Linked DNA regions of Daphnia pulex. The protein of the gene in region 4 interacts with the protein of the main gene of each other region in a pairwise test. Links are inferred from orthologs where the notes say so. Each region holds a gene or a part of one and is shown on either strand. Other genes may lie near its edges.

Region 1 (4,241 bases), on a different chromosome or scaffold from region 4:
TTTTTTTGTTGTCACGTTAGAACTCTGATGAGTTACCTTCAACATCACGTGAACCAAAAACATTAGACGACGAGGAGGAGGATGAGGAAGAAGATGATGATGATGGAGATTTATCAAAATACGATCTTAGTGGTTGGGGTGACGAAAGTAACGAGAATCCCGAAGAAAAGAAATCATCACCTGTCAACGATGCTCCAGTAAAATCAGAAAATGGCAGCAAATCCAGCGGAGTGCGTCACTCTGAAAAGTATTGAGTTATCTTTTACCACTATTGAATTGAGCTCATGCTGTTTACATTTTGGCAGATCCAGGTCTCCCGGTCGTTCCAGGTCGTCTTCTCGTGATCGATCCGGTTCTAGGTCAAGGTAACACCCGGTAGCGACAATTTGGCTATCGGGCAAACAACTTTTGTTTTTCTGTTGATTCCAAAACACCTCCAAAATTATTTTTGAACGGCTAAACTATCATTCTTGTCAATGTGGTTGAGGTAACCGCTTGTAAGGTCCGTATCTAGTTCGAACCCAAACGGTTATTCGAAACAATTGTCCACACACGTGTTTTTTTTATCGACCGAAATTTTGAGATTACGTAGAAATTTCTCCACTTTAGCAGGAGCAGAAGGTCAGATAAACGCAGTGATCGCCGCCGACGCCGTTCAAGATCTTCAAGCGACCGTTCTAGAAGCCGTTCTCGGTCCAGGTTTGGTTTGCCAATCAAGGGCTTTCATTTTTAGTTGCTTCACAAACAGAACAATCGTCAAACATGTTGATTAACTATTGCGAATATTGAGACAAGTTCCTCTTCTTGTATACTAGGTCTCGTTCTAGAAGCCGCAGACGTCGCTAAACTTCTTCAACTTTACTCAAAAGCAATTTGAGTTGATGATCAACTGCATCGCTTGCAAAATTACCCTTTTACACCCATAATAGATTTTGATAGTAACATTATCTTCACCTTTTCCTGCAATTTATTTTCTCATGGCAGAAAAATAAACAATTACTTCCAAACTTTGCATTTCTTATGCCTCCAGTTTCGTCTTTGTTGTCACGGCGTAGTATAACACACCAAATGCAACAATAACAGCAGCTAATTCAGAGTTGATCCACGGTCCAGTGTAGGCACCCTGAAATGAAATCACGACTCGTTTAGTTTAGAAAATCAGATAAGATTTAAGGTTTCTTTAGCTTACGGGATGGTACAGGACCACAACACCGACAGTTGGAACAGCGGAGGTGTCTTCACCGTTGCGTTGAGCCTAAAAGATGAATGAGTTAATTTTCAGGTAGGAAGTAGGGGTTCGACTAATGAATATTATTTACCTTGCGAACGGCAGCGTAACCTTCATCATCGTAGACTTTGATTTCAAAGTTTCCACGGGGAGCTTTCTTGGTTTCCTCCAACCAGCTGACAACATATTCGTTGGTTTCCTTGCTCTTTACAACAGACAAGGGTTTGCCACCAACCTCGGCATACAGTGGGATATCCTGTATATTTGGTAAAGCTTGTGAAATTTCAGTTAATTTAATAAAAACAGGAATGTCTTACAGCAGGCTCTCCATCGCAGCTCAGTTTAAACTGGGAGACATAGGCGATATTTGTGAGAATGGTGCCATCGAGAGTGGTGAAAGATGTGGAGGTCAAACTTGGACTTGAGCAGGAGGAAGCTGAAAATAATGAAATAGATAATCAGATTTGTTTCACACTATTACAATTAATTGAGAACTCATGTATCTTCCCCTAAATAATATAACATACAACTAATTTGGTTTAAATACTTGGTGTCCCCATTTCAAGTTCTTTGCCCCGTTACTGAGATCCCAAAATTCATACTAAAAACAAATCAGCTTTTCTTTAATAGAGTTAATTAAAATCCTGTTTCTGAAAACTTATATAGTATCTAAATAGAGTTGCAATATGGGAAGATAATCACAAATTTCTTATTTTCCAGACCGGCTTCGAAACTATCCATGGACGGTTTAAATAGGAAGGCTACTCCGAAAATAATGATTGTTACAAAAATAGATACCTGAGACAGCGGAGAAACAAACGGCGATGGAAAACACGACCAACAATTTGCAAGACATGATGGGATTCAAAAGGATTGCGAATGGACAGTGGTTGTTACAAATTTTCGTTGGTTTTTGACAGCAACTGGATGGTTTAATTTTTGGCCACCAGAGGCGTATAGGCCACGTTTGATGATGTTTACGTGTGCTGCCAGATTTGTTTGTCTAGATTTCACTCAAATTGATTTAATTTCAATAAAACATTAAAATAATTAGATAAAATGAAGAATAATCTTCTGATAATTAAAAAAATTAACATTGCAGTTAATGTCTCTGTTTGACAAAGTAAAATAAAAAGATTGGCACGTCGTCCATTCCCGCCATCTAGCGAAGAAACGAACAATCCTTCGTGACAACAACAACAACAAAAAACACCGTGAGTCCGTGACCGCTTATGAACCTAATAAATAATGATAAACATTAGCATAAAAATATAGTAAAAAGAACTATATTATTCCCGCAGCATAATGAATAAATAATGAACGCACGAAACAAAACATATCACGGAGCAGCAGATGTTTCACCAAAACAGCAGAGTGACATTGAACTTGGCAGCCATATGAATAAATTCTTAATTCCCCGAATTTTTGCTTCGGATCAAATACCTTCCGTCAACGTAAATATAAACACAGCCGTTGCCATTATTCCGTCTAGAATTATCGTCACAGCGCAAACCGGAATGAAGAGATTCAAATTTTCCGCCAACGACGAAAGGTCACAACCGTCAAATTGTTTCGGTGGTGGTGGGAAGAATTTCATGTCAAAAGAAAAATGAACATGTTGAGGCATGAGGGGGTTATTTCAACAAAAGCTTCTTTTCTTTTCTTCATGTTTATTACATACAATATCAAAAGGTACTATTAAGTAAAAGAGTCAAGTAAAACTCGTGTGCTTTTCTTGCGAGCCCATTCTTGTCCGCCCTGGGTACGTATCATTTCATGGCCGCCCACCACAAACGGGCGAATTCAAAAGATATTGCCCGTTCGTGAGAGTGTATATCCCGCGCCGCCACACGAGAGGCGGGACTACCGGCTCTACTATATATATATATGACTCGATTTGGTGAATTTCTCCATCTATAAACAAGATACACACACACACGCACAATGGTCGGTTCCCAGTGAGTAAACACGTTTTTCTTTCTTCACATTTTCACGAGGAATGCGCCGTCGAAGAATCGGGAAGAAGAAAAAAATTCCACGAAATAAAACGCAGACGAGCGGAACAATTTTTGTTTTTTATTTAAACTCTCACACGCAATCATCATTTATCGATTACACCGAGAGGGAGGAGGATTGAGAGGGGGGGCGCTGAGCGAAACAACACGTCAATCGGTTGTAGAATCGAAATGGCGGGACCGAGCGCTAGCCAATAGCACGCGGGAGAAGAAAACGAAACAAAAATTAGAGACAAAAAAACAAAAACGCGCACACACAGACACAAAATCAGAACACGATCATTTTCCATCATTTCGTGGGACAACAAAACATGGGAAGAAAAAAAACAAAAATTTAAGGAGTGACACACATTTTGCAATTGAAACCGATTGAAACATGATCGGGAGAGACCAACATTATTTTTCTTCTTTCTTTTGTTTTTCTGAAAGAAAACACACACACAAAAATATTGGAAAAAGAAAAGAAAAAAAAAAAACATAATTTCTTTGCACCCCATTCTTAAACCACCCCCCAATATAACAGACGACACGACACACACGACCAAATGTCGGGGATATAAATTTTTTTTTTGTTTTAGTATAGCCCGCGCAACTCACGATATGTTCTTGATTCCTTGGTTACGGGCTGTGTGTCTATGTGTGTGTCTATCTTACACACACACACACACACAATTTCTTTTATTATTTGATTTCTTCTTTTTTTCAAAACTTTTCTTCTTCTTTTTCTTCTCACACGTAACCGGCGAAACACACACACAGAGGGAAAAGACCGGAAACATGCACATACAATAAGAGGATGGGAAGAGGGGGGGGGATGGTATATGTGTGTTTAAAGAACCAAAGCGAACGATGGCCTTTTTAAACCCCAAAGTCGAAACGGACACACACACACGTAGTAGTGGAGGAGGTGGGAGTGTACCATCGTTTCGATTTTTCCATGAAAGACCTAAGGGGGGAATATTTATAACAATAAAAAAATAAAAAAAAATAATAAACTA
Region 2 (4,856 bases), on a different chromosome or scaffold from region 4:
GCGCTCCGTCTATTACGATTGCTGAGTTATTATATTCTACCATCTACATTTAATATCGACTCGTATCGAGCACAAAAAACAAAACAAAAACAAAAAATTTACCGAAATTTCATCCCTTTTTAGTTGTACCATACGAACAGTAGCGCACACAATTCAGAGTTGAATTTATATACAGTAATTTCGCAATTTCCTAAACGACGTTTTCAAAGGGTAAACGTCGTAGTTGTGCGCCGTTTGCGCAGTAATCCGTAGTTAAAGAGAAATGTGTACCTATATAATATAATGCACTTAATATTTGTAACTTTTTGTAGCTCCGAAATATTTGAGAGTGAATTGGATGGCCGCCTTTATTTTTACCCCCGTGTGTTTCTTCTGTCTCTGTTATGTAAAAAAACAAAGAACAAATTTCCTGTCCGATTGTGTACATGTACTCCCTTCAACTCCTCACCGTCAGTTTACAGCACGCTACATACTATCGGCTTCTAAAAACCTCTTGGAAGAAAACATCGGCGCTATTTAGGTGATGGGCATCGGCGGAATGAGGAGAGAGAGAGAGAACAAATTTCCCGACCCCACGATTTGAATGCACCTATCTACGAAGACAAGAAAAAATAACAACAGCGAATTTACTCATCGTCGATAGCGAAAGAGAGTGCGTGCCGCGACGGCGGCGGGGTTATTTCATCGGTAACAATAAAAATGTGTGTGCAGAGACCCAACACTGCCTGGACGATCCGGGTGGCATGACTCGGACAAATTTCCCCCGAGAGTTCCCAACATTTAAGAAAGAATTACAATGCGCGACTGGTGAAAAGAGAATCATGGAAGAACAAAATGTACAAGTCATCATGAAATATCAGCTATATATATATACGTTCCGCATGAGAGCCCCATGAAAACGCTGAGAGCGTCGTCACTTTTCCGAACCCAATTCAGAGCATCACGGAACTGATACAGCGCGTCGAGAGCGCTTGTTTCCCCCCCCCCCCCATGTGTAGATCTACCAAAGTCCAAAGTTTACGTATCCTATCCATTGCGTCCGCCGAGTTTCCTTTCTACCATCCCACCCCTCATGTATTTCTTATTTTGTTTCCTCGACAGTAAAGTTTTCTTATTATAAAATAAAAAAAAAAAAAATTGGCAATCCTCCCCCGTATGAACACGATGAAATTGTTTTGATTTACTTGTTGGGCTTGATGACTAAATACACACAGATTTATTCGACTCTGATGGTATGGAAAGGCTTTTTCTTTTCAAGCTGGACTTGATCACATGTGTCTACTGAAAAAAGCATAATGAGTACGGACACTATTCATCCTATTGACGTGAAGTGCAATCACTCTTCATCCTCGTCGCTTTCAGGCACCACCTAATAAAATGCCGAATCACTAGGTTAGTGGGTGACGTATTAAAATCAATTATCGATTAATCGATTTACCTGTATGATGCCGGCCGATGTGGCATAGGCAATCATCGCGATGAAGGAAACTAGCGCAGCAATACTTATGTTCCGCAACTTGTTTGGAAAGTCAGTATCAGAATATGGAGCTTCTTGCTTAGCAGTTTGCTGTCGCTCTTTCTGTTCTTGCTCTAAAGCAGAAAGACAAAAAAAGAAGATGTATAAAGAATAGTCGCAGGAAACATTGAGAATTTAACTGTACCCTTGACTTCTTTCGGGAAAAATCGCTGCAATATACGTCCCACGAAGCGAGTGAGATTAGTACATGCTTTTAAGTGGTTTTGCAGAGCAGCACTGGGCAGGGGAGCTTTCAATAACGGAGCTAAGTGAGCAAATACTACAGCATCCAAAGACGAAGGCGATTGTCCAAAAAAATATTCTTTTTCACCAAGTTTAGTGGCTAAAAGGCTCAGACATTCTTCAGCTTGTCTATAAACCTGGCAAAAAATAAAGTCCCTGTTATACAAATAATACCAGTTTTAATTACGTCAAGTTTACTTACTGCTGTTTCAATGACAGAAAAATCCTCTTCTTCAGGATACAGTGAAACCATTAGTTGTTTAGCATGTTTTTCATATTGACCAGGATAATAGAAATTTAAAGGGAATGGTAAAAGCTTGGCATAAAGTGGACGACTGAACTCAACAAAATTTTTAGAATCAATCCACCACACAAATTGAAGTGCTGGAGCAAGCTTCTCATAAATGAGATGAGAGTATGCAAATGCTTCAGCACACTGTTTTGGAGATAGTTCAAAATCTGCAGTATGGTTCTAATTTTGAAAAACAAAAAATCTTTAATTTATAGATTAACAATTATATAAAAAATAGATTCCTATACATTCTTCCTGAGGTAAGCTGATATTTCACCAAATTTTGTCAGGCACTCATTCTCGTGTTGAAAAACTGGTAAAGAGCCAGTGGGTGTTCTTAAAGGATTATTGGTCGACTTCGTTACCAGCCGTGTTCCGGAGAATTTGGCATAGGTCTAACAAGAGTAAAAAAAAAAAAGAATGTGTTATCTAACGTGGATTTTTTGTTAAATTTTACCCTATTATTGTTTGCCTTACCATGACTTCTAAGCAATGAACGTCAATTGATGGTAGGCCCCATTCCCCTTTCCAAATATCAAGTTCCATGACTGGATGTGAAGCCATCACAAATATAGGAATGAATCCTTTAAATCCACAATTGTAACACGGGCTTTTTAAAAAAACAACATAAACAAAGTTACATGCTACAATCTCGGGATCTTGGCAAGTGCAAGCGTCTGCTAAGCTTACTTACTTTATAGATTAAGGGCCCAAGTATTCCTTTAAGAGTTGCGGCAAATTCTGAGCCATTTTGTCCTTCTCGCTAGCGCCTCTGGCGGAAAATATTTGAACGAATGATTATTAATTTAATTTTCTTTTTACAATAAACGAAAAATATTATGATTGGTACGGTTATATCTAACCCAAAAATTCAAAATTCAAATATGAAATGTTTAAAACAAAATTTTATGAAAACGTTACGCTGTATCAAGCGAAAGCGTCAGTGGTTTCGTCCTTGTAGAAAAATCCAATCTCTCGATGCACGCATGAGCTTCCCCTGCAACCCATACGCTCAAAAATATATAAAATAACAAGGAAAACCGTTTGATTTTCGAACGAACCCTCTAGTTCCTATCACTCTGAGTAGAAAATGCATTTTATCGGATGGTGGGTGGGGGACAGCTTCGTCTAGGATAGAATCCATATCGGAAAATGGGGTCGGAAATGCGGATGCGACATTGCGGCCGGCAGTCCCTCCCATTTTTAATCGAAGGGTTTCCCGAATTCACAATCGCGATCTATTCATTCATTTTCACATTTTAAGTTTTAAGTATTACATGGGCGGACCTATATACAGAGTAGCCTATTCAAATATGTTGAATAGCAGTTTTGGGGAATTGCCAATTTCCCATGTCTCATTTCATACTTCGTCCTTGTAAAACAAGATTCCCAGTGGTCATTTTACGTCACGACAACAAAATTCCAATCAGAGTTTTAGTTACACGTCTGCATTTTTTAGTCTTCAAGCATGAACATGAAACATGAATGCATGATATTTTAAACGTTAATTATTGAACTACATAAGCATAAGCCTTTCCACATGAACTGCCGGCAGCGAGCCTTTGGCTACTGCTTAGCTACATTTTCCGATCCATGTGTTGTTGGTTGTTGGTTTTTTCCATCCTTGCCCCAACAACCTTCAGAGAAAGTCTTGTCGCGTCTTGACTCTTCGTGCGTTGGCCTTCGCAGAAGACTCGCTGGTAAAAATCAACTGTTTGTTTCTTGTGCAACAACACCCATGAAAGACAAAACCTTGGGTTGACGTAGAATGAAGTAATTCCGTGAAAGTTTCACGAAATTTTGTATTAGTCATCCGTTCATTCATCACTAGCCATTCATAGAATCTGGATCTCTAAAAAAACACACTTAAAGCTGATCCAACCCTCCTTTCATAATTTTCTGACGTTTCTCATTAGGATTGACACTCCCAACTTTCTGCAGTGAAACATCAATATGGCAAATCCTAGATTTGCAACAGTGCTATTTGTCTTTATGGTTTTCTTTGTGGTTTGTTTACAGAATGGTAAGAAAAACAGTTTTTCCCATCAGTTATGCCTCTACTTATTTCTTACATCTTCTTTTAATTATCGCAATAACAGGTGATGGATATAAAATGTGCAAACGAAAAAGTATATTTGGAGTAAAAAGCTACTTCACATGTCCTGAACCCGGGCAAACTCCAGACATGGTACAGTTCTCCACTTAAATTCTGATGAACAACAAAACTAATTTTAACACATAGGTATTCTGTTGTGGAGATGATGATGACCTTGGAGGACAGTTCTGCTGCCGAGGTCTTACAATAGACAAGTTAGTAACTTTTTTTTACATGCTGTATGTTTACTTAAACTTTTTGTTAGTTTGATAATTGTGTGATGTCTTGATATAGTGAATCCTAATTCATAGTTTTTGTTTTTTTGTGTTATTAATTTCCATTGTGTGATGGAAATTTAAAAAATTATATTATTGGAATGGAACAAGTGCCCTGAGGAACCCTTTGCGAAGGTTAGCTTATGTTAAGATTTGGTTTCAAACAGTAGACATCTTTGTCCACTATATCCTTTTTGGGAAATCTATTTGTGGTATTTCTTATTAATTAATTATGCATCCCATAATCTGCTTGATGTTCTTCCTCTCCATTAATTTACAACTGTAAAGTACATTTTTAAAATGTAACTGAAATGAGAAAAGTACGTAAAATAGGATACGGTTGTTCTAAAATCTCATATCGGATTGTTTTCCAATTTTTACGCAGAAGAATTAAAGTCGGCTAATAACAGTATTTTTGGCATATTATTTTACATA
Region 3 (5,064 bases), on a different chromosome or scaffold from region 4:
TCATGAATCGACTATAAAATGATTAACTGTATTATTAGTCAAAGAAATAAAAAGAAACTTGAATACTTTGAAGATTGATGGATCAGAGAAAAACTGGGGAATGCATTCGTCGGGTGTCCACTGTTGCATCCGTTCGATAGACGTGGGATATTCCAAGGGATTCCAGGTGGGTCTTACATACCGACACAGAACTGATCGGACCGTCCGTCTCGCCTGATAAACATAATAAGTGATTTCAGAAAGCACATCTGTTACGTGGTGAGGAACTTGTGAAGGTAACACGTCTTCTTTTCCTTCCGGTGCTTCAAAAGTTGTCGGATCAAATGTCAGATCCAGTTGTCTATCACCTATAAAATAAAATCACAAGATTTTTAGCTATCAAATTTAACCGTTTAATGAAACAATGATAAGATTATAACCTTTGTTCAGTCGAAACTTTGACTTGGCCAAGTCTCTCCAATTACCGAAAGGTGAACTGAGATCAGAAATCCAAGGCAAAACGGGATGATTGAAAGGATTATTAATTTGACGACCAGCCAGATCGTTCAAGGCCATTAAGTAGTCGTAATTTGATAGACAACCTCGAACCTAATAACGATTTGAAAAATACCATTGAAGCAAATGCGAACGTCAGATAATGTTAACAGTAGATGATAAACATACCCATGACGTTGTCAGTTCTTGAAGACTAGCTTCCTGTTTTGTTGGCTGAACGGGTTCTAGTGGAATCAAACTAGAGGCTAGTGCAGGAAGAACTTTAAGACTCAAACTTTCGTTGATGAAAAAATGTTGCCACGAAACCCCTTCGACAAAAAGGGATCGGTCTTGCATCTCCTTGACGGCGTGCAACATTTGAAACAACAAGAACATGGGCTTCACGCTATTTGAACTTAGAAGCGAGGGACTAAGACTGAGGCACTGGTGCACACTGTGTGGAATGTGTTCTGTGATCACAAAAAAGTTGGATGAACATTCAAATACTCCAAACGCTTGCAAAACACAGCTCGGTGACTGGCTAGTAGGATGGAGGACTGAACCACTTTCCAAGGAAATTATGGGGCAGCTGAACACCCTCGCTAGCAGTGAACTAAGAGATTCCTGCCAGCTTGCATTTTTGGGATTGCTGCGCCGACCTCTGTTCAAGGCAAAAGGCCTGTACGCTTCTGGAAACTTTTTCTGTGACTCTTTCCACAGGTTCTTGAAGTTTGTCTGAGACACATAGTGAAGGTACTGTGAGTAGGTGAGGTCCTTCACATCTAGTCCCATGTCTGGGTGGATGCTGGATGTGGATAGAACTGGATGATTACATTTAGGAATAACCTGTTGGTAGTAACAAGGTGTTAATAGAAATGAAAAGATGTATGAAAAATCGTCTACTAACATTTATGTACACTAATATCCAATCTGGGCTAATAAGAGATTCTGAGTCCCACAGAAAAGCCTGCACTTCATCTGGAGAATAAGTAGCATGATTTTCAAATTCATCTGGTAGCTTTAAATTTTTCTTTATATACCTGCAGAGGAGCCAAACAAATGTATGAAGTTTAAGAAAAATTTAAAGTTTCATTGGATTCATGGTAAGGTACTTACAAACACCATTTCTGGGGTAAGGCTGCTATATATACATCTTTAAGTTGTGTTTTTCTAATATACAATGGAGGAATGCATAGTTTTTCACTTATTAACTCCATAACAACAATTTAACAACTCCGAATAGAGACCATCTAATAAAAAAATCACTCGCAGTCAATCCGTCAGTCAGTCGAGTGTAAACAACACCCCCATGAGTGACATCTATGTACTGTAGCAGACGTCACGTAAATTATCATAAATCCGTTTGAATTAAAAATGAATAAAAGAACTTGGCAGAAACGAAAATCGAATTAAAACCTATCGGAATTAATAGTCACTGGAAATTTGAAGAGATTACAAAGTTCGTAATTCTTGCTTCCGAGTTCTGCTAAACTGCAGAACGATTAGAGACAGACGACGTAATTATAATAGCAGACGCCACGTGTACAAAAAAAAGTCTATCGAAATTCGGAAATTGTCGAGTGGGCAAACTGTCAAGTGTCAAAACACTTTGCCAGTTCCCACACACAGTGTCTGGTTGTTATAAGAACGAACAGCCTTTTGGCCGTGTTCTTTGTTATTTAATTACAGTTTATATTATAGTAACTTAAATGGATCGTAAGGAGATATGGTAGAATATACCAAACTTACTGTTAACGAACCAGGCTTGGAAAAAACCGACAGAATGCAGGACTGGAGGCAAGCCATCCAGATTCCGACTGCTTATCGCATCGGAAATAGCACAGTTCGACTCCAGTACCAGTTTGTTATGGGAGTTTTGGCTGTCGGAGTCATAGCACTGGTCATGTTTTACAACTCGTTCTCCCACAGCAAGCCCCACAACTCTTACATGCTGGAAAAACGAATTCCTTCAAATTACGAGAGTGATCACCTTCACAAGCATAATTTACCTGAGCCCAAACAAAGCAACTACAACTCCACTTATCCCTTGACCACCCCTGTACGGACAGAAAAGGGTGTACGCTACAAGATTGCCATAATATCTGATTTGGACACCAACTCGAAAAAGGAAGATGAATGGATAAGTTATTTAAAAACAGGCGCACTTTTTGTAGATATTGAAAAAAATAAGGTAATTCATTGTCTATTTTGTTTTCAAAGCTTTACCTACATTTAATTTCTTGCTGCAGGTTTCACTAGAGTGGGACCAGGATGAGCTTATGACATTGAAAACTACCCTTGCTCAAGGAGGAAGAGGAATGGAGTTGTCAGAACTGGTTGTGTTTAATGGTGCTCTTCTCGGTTTCGACGATAGAACCGGAACCATTTATCAAATTGATATCGCCTCGAAATTCGCCTATCCTTGGGTACTTTTGGTCGATGGGCATGGTCGCGTTGCCAAGGGTAATATTTCAAAAATCAACTGCTAGCTTCCGTCGTGTTATAGTAACGTTTATCTCTTTAACAAAAAATTGTCTAGGCTTCAAGAGTGAATGGGCGACTGTAAAGGATCAAAGCCTTTACGTCGGTGGTCTGGGTAAAGCCTGGACTACTCCGACAGGTGAATTGGTCAATTATCACCCGCAATATATCAAGAAAGTCACCACGACGGGTGAAGTCTCTCATATTGATTGGCACACGCGCTACGAAGCCCTGGCGAAAGCAGTCGACATTTCATTTCCAGGTATATTATCAACTACTATCTATACTAAAATGTATATATACTAGAATCGATATTCATCAAATATTTGATTGCTTCCACTTCACCAAGGCTACATAATCCACGAATCGGCTTCGTGGAGTTCTGTCCACAAGCGGTGGTTCTTCTTGCCCCGCCGGGAGAGTAAAGATCGTTATGACGAGAAACTGGACGAATCGAGAGGTTCGAATTTGATGCTCACCGCCGACGAGGAGTTCAGCGATATCAAGGTTAGCTGGGGGCTGTCATTCTTCCCATTCCTATATGTAGGCCAAGTCAATAAAGTATTAAACCCTTGTTCCAACAATAACCAGGCCAAGAGGATCGGCGACATCAGTCCCACCCACGGATTCTCCAGCTTCAAATTCGTGCCCAACACACACGACAGGCTGATAGTGGCTCTCAAATCGGAAGAGAACCAAGGCAAAACAGCCAGCTACATCATGGCCTTTGACATTGACGGAACGATCCTGCTGCCCGAGACTAAAATCGATGGCGATTTCAAATTCGAGGGAATCGAGTTTATTTAATTTCCGCTTCCAGCAGCAACCGTTGAATTGTTGGGTGTCTTTTTCCCACCCTATTATTATTATTTGCGCCATCACTTCTGACTTTGTTCACAGCTGTTTTTATCCTCTTTTCTTACCTGCCCGATTTGACTAGCGTGCAACGTGTCTCTTCATCCTTTCTTTCTTTCTTTTTGTTGTTGTTTCCCATTTTATGTTTCCCGTCTTCTAGGATGAATTCAAAATGCGAGATATTGTAAGATTGAATACACGCCAAATAATCAATTTCCCGTTACGCTATAGTGTTACTTTTTTTCGAATTGGCCGGAGGGCACGGATGATGCCCTCATGCGGGTTTTTAATTTTCCCCAAAAACTTTGAATCAAATCCTCCTCCGATCGGCTTTTTATTTTATTTATTTAAATTGATTTATTCAATTCATTTGCGCAAGACTTTTCTGACGCCCTGCCAGAAAGAGGTCCATCGATCTTATCTCACGGAAGCCATTCTCTTTTATTCGACCGAAAATAAAACAAAAACATCTGCGTCTTGTGGCTTTTTAACCTTCTCTCCTATACGTGGCAGCACAGCCGCCGTCAAGTTGCGTGAGCTCCAGAACATTCGCGTCCGTTGCTCAGCTCTGTTTTCTTTTCTTTTTTTTTTTCAGGTTCGTTTTTACTTCACGTCGTCCTAGCCTGGCAGCAGTCTGGGAACGGTCAAACATGAACAAGAGAGTCGACGGTCCAGACAGAATGAATCAAATAATCGATACTACTCTCTCTTCCAGCGCCCGTCGTATAAGAATACATCAACTCTGAAACATATACATTTCTGGGCGAAAAATTTCATCTGTCATTTGTTTAAAAAATGGAAAAATGAAAAAATGGAAATCGGAAGCTAATTTTCGATGGGAATGATAACACCTGTGTCCAGCCGAAATAAAAAAAAAGATGTGCAACTAATAAATAGACACACAAGAGGCCGGCCGGCCCGGAAACAAGACTTGCATGGTGACCGGGTTCGTTTGGGAACTTCATTGGCATCTGGTCCGATTCCCTCATCAATTTCCCCTTTTTTTCACGTTTCATCACCGCGAGCTCGGGGGGGGGTTATTGCATCAAAGTAGACGAGAGCTAGGCTTAAAGTCATCAAAGTATCTCTAGTCTTGAATTCATTCAAGAAAACAGAAATAGGAAGAATATAGTATATTATCTTGTGCATTTCGTGTGTTGAAATCAAAACGCGATGATATGTTATGCTGTGCTGCCCAGGGTCTTTTGTCAGTTCCGGGTCAAAAATGGCGCAGCAAATTGCATGTCCCTTTTT
Region 4 (5,163 bases):
CACAAAAACACACAAAGAATTGCAAATAAGCATCAAGTCAAATCAAGTTTTAAATAAACAAAAAGTTTTGTATTGCACTTATAATCAGGGGAGTTACTTCTTGACTTTAAGGGATCCACATTGAAACTGTTCGCATTTTTGTACTTTGGTGAGGACGTGGTAGGAATCTTTGAGCTTTTCAGGAACATAATCCTCGACAGCTTTGGTTACCGTTTGAATTGTTTTGGAGAAGGAGCGGGACAAGGATCCAACTTCACACAGGAGACGCTGGATGCATTCCTGCGAGTTGATTGCGGCGTAAACAACTTGGGTCAGTCGTTCGACTTGGGCGATGCTCATCGCTGGAACAGCGGTGGAAATGTTCTTGTTCTTCTCCACTTGACGACGCTTGCGATCCTGGCTGTCTTGATTTAATTTGTTGTATTCGTTTTCATCTTGGTAGTCGTTTCCGTAGGCGCTGTCGTCGTAGTAAGGAGTTGTTTCGTAGATGTCAGTGTCGTTTGAAGCTAAAGGAAGCGGTCGTCTGCCTCCACCACCTCCTCCGCCACCTCCTCCCAGTACAACAACAACCACTGCAATGATGGGAAGTAAAACGGGAAGAACGAATATGAGTGGCAACGCCAAGAACTTGGTGACCAGACCACCGCCACCTCCTCCACCGGCGGAAGGAGGATCGCCGGGGATGACCAACGGAGTCAAAGGGATCGGAGCATATTCGTCACCATAAGACGGAGTTGTGTAATAAGATGGGGGAGCGTAAGATGGGGGAGGGACTGCATAAGGCATCGGGGCGTAGGAAGCCATCTATTACAAAAAGAGAAATAAAAAATAATGATATCATCTTATCTGTTTTTAACTTTGGTACTTTACAAATTAAATTAAATGCTATTGAATAAAATCTTAGTATCTTACTATTGAGTTTGCTGATGAGTGGATATCTTTTCTGTGGAAGATGAACTGATTGTGGTGTCGATTGGACATTCGCCGTCGTCTTATATAGCGCGGCTCCACGAATTTGCGAACGCTATTAGACAATTTCGTCATTAACCTTAACGTCTACCTGGAAAGAAGCTATTAGGAGGAGCAGGCGATTAAGTAAGGAGGGGGAGCGAGACTATTAACATATCTTTTTACACTTTTTCCGTTTTTTCTCAAAATCAATCGAGTTAATGACCAAATCGAGTCTGTGACCAGAGTGGCAGATTCACTAAAATCCATCATTCATTACACAAAAATTTCGTTATTTTTTATAATTAATCTTTTATTTAAGATTTGTTGAAATTGCTGGTGAAACATTGTTATTCAAGGGGTTTGTCGACTAACGTCCAAACCTCTAGGGTCCAATCGACAAAATCCGCCGCTGCAGAAGATTGCCTACTCAAAAGCGCCAGGTGTCCGCGGCGGATTTTGTCGGTAACTAATAACTAAGAGGGTGTCACGGTCAGATTTCTCGGATAGTCCGTCTTGCTAAATTCATTTCTTAGAATACAGTTAGTCATAATTTAGTCTAGTCATCAGTTAGTCTTTGAGGTCATAAATTATTCTTTAATCCACTACTCTGCTCTGGACCTCTGGTATTGCATTGGCATTTAGTTGAGCAGGGTAGGGATACGAGCGCTAGTTACCAGTCTCTGGATGGAGTCGGTTGGCCTTAAACTTATGAGGACGGTGCTTAACCGTCCGTGTTCGCCTGCTAAAATATTTTCGCCAATCATCACGGTAGTCGTATTACATATCCTAAGTGAAAGGAACACGAACGAAAAAACTCGACACGTGTGTCAACATTTTACTGGTCCTGTCACTTTTATTCCGTCGATTTGCTAAAGGTATTGCCAAGTGTCAATACTCCTGTGAAGAATCAAAATCTAAAGGTATCAGTTTTGATCCAAACATCTTTCAGAATGTCCTCTGTAAAGCGGCTAGCTCTGGCGATCGTGCAATTTCTAGCTGAGCAAAAACAATACGGAAACTTGTCACCTGACGCTCAGGTAGATTTAACACCAAATTTTCATGTTCTTATATTTTTAAATGTTTGACTATTGTACAATCTATATGCAGGAAAGTTTAGAGGTTGCTGTGCAGTGTTTAGAAACTGCTTTTGAACTGACACCTGAAGACGCAACATCTCTAAGTGTCTCCAAATCTTTGCTCGATATTTTTCATGATGCTGTTGCTTCTGAAGTGAGTTTTATATTTTAAATACTCCAATCTAACATGATTTATTATCAAGTCTCTTGTTTGACTTCAGATACCAACCTTTCCTGCTGAAGTACCCGAAGACATCAAACTTCAAGCTGAAAAACTAAAAAATGAAGGAAACAATCTGATGAAATCTGAGCAATTTACTGAAGCTCTGGTGTGCTATTCAAAGTAAGCTCTCAATATCTGTAATGTATTTTGATGTTAAATTAATGCTTTGTTTTTAGGGCCATTGAGTTGGATGGGAGAAATGCAGTCTATTTCTGCAACAGAGCTGCAGCACATAGTAAGCTCAATCAGCATCAGTCTGCCATTGATGATTGTAAAAAAGCAATTACTATTGATCCTCTCTACAGCAAAGCTTATGGCCGAATGGGGTAATCCACTTTTCTGTTTCACTCAACATTGACTAATTTTTACTAATTGTGCTCAATCTATTAACATTTAAACATTCTTCTTTATGTTTAGCTTGGCTCATGCAAGTCTCAATCAACATGGTGATGCTGTTAGGTGCTATGAACGTGCTGTTCAACTGGAGCCAGAGAATGAAAGCTACCAAAGTAATCTTCAAATCGCCGAAGAAAAGCTTAAACAGACTGGCGGAGCTGAACGTCTTCCCGGCATGGGTCCTGGTATGGGTATCCCAGGGCTTGATGTGGGAGCTATGCTCAACAATCCAGGTAGATTGTGTGTTAAATGTTTTAAACTTTGTAGCTCATTGAGCTAAATTTTTAATATTTTTTTTTTTTTAGGTTTGATGTCTATGGCCCAGCAAATGTTAAGCAATCCAAATATGCAGCAACTGTAAGTTTCTCTTTTGCCGTGATTTTTTTTAAGAAAATATATCTTGACGTGACTTCAACTGATATTTTAAATTAAATACTACGTATTCATATTTATGTCAAAAATTGCATTGTTTATTATTTTATTTTATTTCATTTATTTTTAGGATGAATCAAATGATGACTGGGTCTGCACAAGGAGGTGGTGGGCTGGAATCGCTGCTTCAAGTGTAAGATACACATTTAGACAAATTGAGATGAATGTATTCTGATCGGCCGACATATTTTTCCTTCTTCTTGGCAGTGGACAGCAGTTGGCTCATCAGATGCAGGCAACCAATCCCGAATTGGTCGAGCAACTGAGGAGGCAGATGGGCGGACCTGGAGGTGGACCCAATCCGTTTGACCCGTCCTCTGAACCGGAGGCCAAGGATCCTCAGTAAAATTCAGTACCTCAGTTCTAACAACTGGATGGCCCAGTTTATTGCTAGGATATCCCCCCCCCCCTAACTCAACCCTTCTTCACTATGTTTCATCTCCATTTTTCATTGTTTTTTTTTATATCACTGCAACCTGTCGGTAGTATCATACAGTGAAGCACGTAATAGTAATATGTATTCAACGATTCCTGCTTCAAATGCATACGAATGTGTACGAATTGATGAGAAACGCAGGCGGTAATGAGTAAAAAGAAAAAATGGAGCATCACATATTCTGCGTTTCATACCAATATTTGCTCGAAATCGAGATTAAAATTACCATTACATTAGTCGACGGCAATTCAGCGGGAATAGATTAAAGCATTTGAATTCTGACAATAATCGGTCGAAACATTCTTAATCGGTTTCACACTGCAGGGCCGTTAGTTTTTTTACAGTTCAAGAAAACAATTTTTCCACTGATTCAACTTTTTGCCAGAGATGGAAAGAGCAAATAAATTGTTTTTTATTGTGCATGTTATAAACTATGTAGTGGCCGAAGCAATTAAGTATCATAGATTTTTAGAAATGCCTTAATTCAAGTTCAAAACTTCCAACTATTCAGGTAATTGATATTCTTTCTTGTTAATATCATGTTAATATCAGATTAAGATTTTGTTTATAGGGCGAATGAACAGGTTCTGACTGTTTCAACTTGTTACAAAGGTAAAAATTCTTAAAAAAAAAACCCAAAAACGGGTTGGTTGTTAGTTTGACAAGTTTTTTTTTTCTTTTTTAAATTAGATAACATTAAAGATAGTGTGTATTGTTTTCCTTCATCCGCGTACAAAGAGATGAATACGTGCAACATGGAAACGTGACGAAAATGAAGTGAAACACGTTCAAACATTGACGATATCAAGATGGTGATATCTGACATGAAATAACGAGATTTTTTGGTTTCAGGTTTACCAGTAATGAGTATTAGTGGGGAGGTGGGGTTAGGGGGGGGGGAGGGATGAATATCGTGTTATCGAAACGGGGGCTCTTTATTTTCGTCAAAAATAAATCCTCCCTATATATATATATAACGTTGAGATCATACATCGAAAATGTGTAATTCTATTTCTCTCAAATGTCTTCCGTACTAAACAGCCCCGGCCGTTCTTGGTAGAGAGAGTTGCGCGGAATGGCCGTCGCTAAAGTCGCTTCGGTCGTGGCTATCGAGACGCAGTACGCCGACGTGTGACCAAGTGTCCCGTGTCTCCGAAGTCCCGTTCCATTGCTCATTTCAAACATGACTAAAAAATAAATAAATAAATAAAAAGAAACATTTAATTATAAAAAAAATGTCGTTGAACAATCAAGACATTTTAGTCTTAACTCTTATCTACAAAATACGAACCCGAGTTTGGACGAGTGTTGTGGGCGTCGTCGTCTTCACAGCAGCGGACGAGACAGCCACACATTTGAGAGAATCTTCGTCTCCGGGTGCAACACCGAACCATCATTCGTCGGAAATTTGTCGACATGAAACTATTTGAAAAAATAAAACAGGCCGATGATAATTAACAATTTGCCTTTAATTACTTGATTTAAAATTCAAAAATAAGAAATAGCTTGCCCGTAGATGACAGGATTGATGCAACTGTGAACGAACGGCAGTAGATAGAAAACGAAACGCAGTTGATAGACGGTGTGATCGTAGCTGGGCAAGCCCCACTTGATGATGACGTTCAACAAGAGTCTCGGTCCCCAGCAAA

What was found.
Region 1: the proteins of small glutamine-rich tetratricopeptide repeat-containing protein beta-like (region 4) and translocon-associated protein subunit delta-like interact in a two-hybrid assay, tested with the Caenorhabditis elegans proteins (2 studies listed by BioGRID). The link is inferred for Daphnia pulex from reciprocal best matches to the Caenorhabditis elegans genes sgt-1 and trap-4.
Region 2: the proteins of small glutamine-rich tetratricopeptide repeat-containing protein beta-like (region 4) and metaxin-1-like interact in a two-hybrid assay, tested with the Caenorhabditis elegans proteins (2 studies listed by BioGRID). The link is inferred for Daphnia pulex from reciprocal best matches to the Caenorhabditis elegans genes sgt-1 and mtx-1.
Region 3: the proteins of small glutamine-rich tetratricopeptide repeat-containing protein beta-like (region 4) and soluble calcium-activated nucleotidase 1-like interact in a two-hybrid assay, tested with the Caenorhabditis elegans proteins (2 studies listed by BioGRID). The link is inferred for Daphnia pulex from reciprocal best matches to the Caenorhabditis elegans genes sgt-1 and apy-1.

Annotation. Positions count from the first base shown.
Region 1 is NC_060026.1:14,623,230-14,627,470, forward strand, and holds translocon-associated protein subunit delta-like, read right to left. Parts: upstream 2,191-4,241; 5' UTR 2,085-2,190; coding exon 2,027-2,084; intron 1,665-2,026; coding exon 1,546-1,664; intron 1,485-1,545; coding exon 1,320-1,484; intron 1,256-1,319; coding exon 1,190-1,255; intron 1,124-1,189; coding exon 1,019-1,123; 3' UTR 950-1,018; downstream 1-949. Other genes in the region: zinc finger Ran-binding domain-containing protein 2-like, read left to right, coding at 21-247, 306-365, 610-733.
Region 2 is NC_060018.1:1,526,044-1,530,899, forward strand, and holds metaxin-1-like, read right to left. Parts: upstream 2,743-4,856; 5' UTR 2,616-2,742; coding exon 2,529-2,615; intron 2,447-2,528; coding exon 2,300-2,446; intron 2,232-2,299; coding exon 1,962-2,231; intron 1,897-1,961; coding exon 1,662-1,896; intron 1,594-1,661; coding exon 1,439-1,593; intron 1,370-1,438; coding exon 1,337-1,369; 3' UTR 1,194-1,336; downstream 1-1,193. Other genes in the region: repressor of filamentous growth 1-like, read left to right, coding at 1-25; protein shisa-4-like, read left to right, coding at 4,005-4,074, 4,151-4,239, 4,294-4,361, 4,533-4,556.
Region 3 is NC_060023.1:1,872,085-1,877,148, forward strand, and holds soluble calcium-activated nucleotidase 1-like, read left to right. Parts: upstream 1-2,199; 5' UTR 2,200-2,200; coding exon 2,201-2,665; intron 2,666-2,723; coding exon 2,724-2,937; intron 2,938-3,013; coding exon 3,014-3,217; intron 3,218-3,304; coding exon 3,305-3,462; intron 3,463-3,546; coding exon 3,547-3,762; 3' UTR 3,763-4,023; downstream 4,024-5,064. Other genes in the region: WD repeat-containing protein 81-like, read right to left, coding at 1-11, 67-347, 420-588, 664-1,320, 1,382-1,514, 1,591-1,691. UniProt on the Caenorhabditis elegans protein: Hydrolyzes UDP and to a lesser extent GDP. By preventing the accumulation of NDP, may promote the reglucosylation of incompletely folded glycoproteins in the endoplasmic reticulum following the unfolded protein response.
Region 4 is NC_060019.1:12,396,304-12,401,466, forward strand, and holds small glutamine-rich tetratricopeptide repeat-containing protein beta-like, read left to right. Parts: upstream 1-1,664; 5' UTR 1,665-1,826; intron 1,827-1,878; exon of another isoform or gene 1,879-1,900; 5' UTR 1,901-1,901; coding exon 1,902-1,988; intron 1,989-2,058; coding exon 2,059-2,181; intron 2,182-2,248; coding exon 2,249-2,370; intron 2,371-2,426; coding exon 2,427-2,576; intron 2,577-2,667; coding exon 2,668-2,879; intron 2,880-2,951; coding exon 2,952-3,003; intron 3,004-3,148; coding exon 3,149-3,211; intron 3,212-3,285; coding exon 3,286-3,424; 3' UTR 3,425-3,689; downstream 3,690-5,163. Other genes in the region: uncharacterized protein LOC124190023, read right to left, coding at 94-804, 913-1,044; galanin receptor type 2-like, read right to left, coding at 4,532-4,701, 4,806-4,936, 5,025-5,163.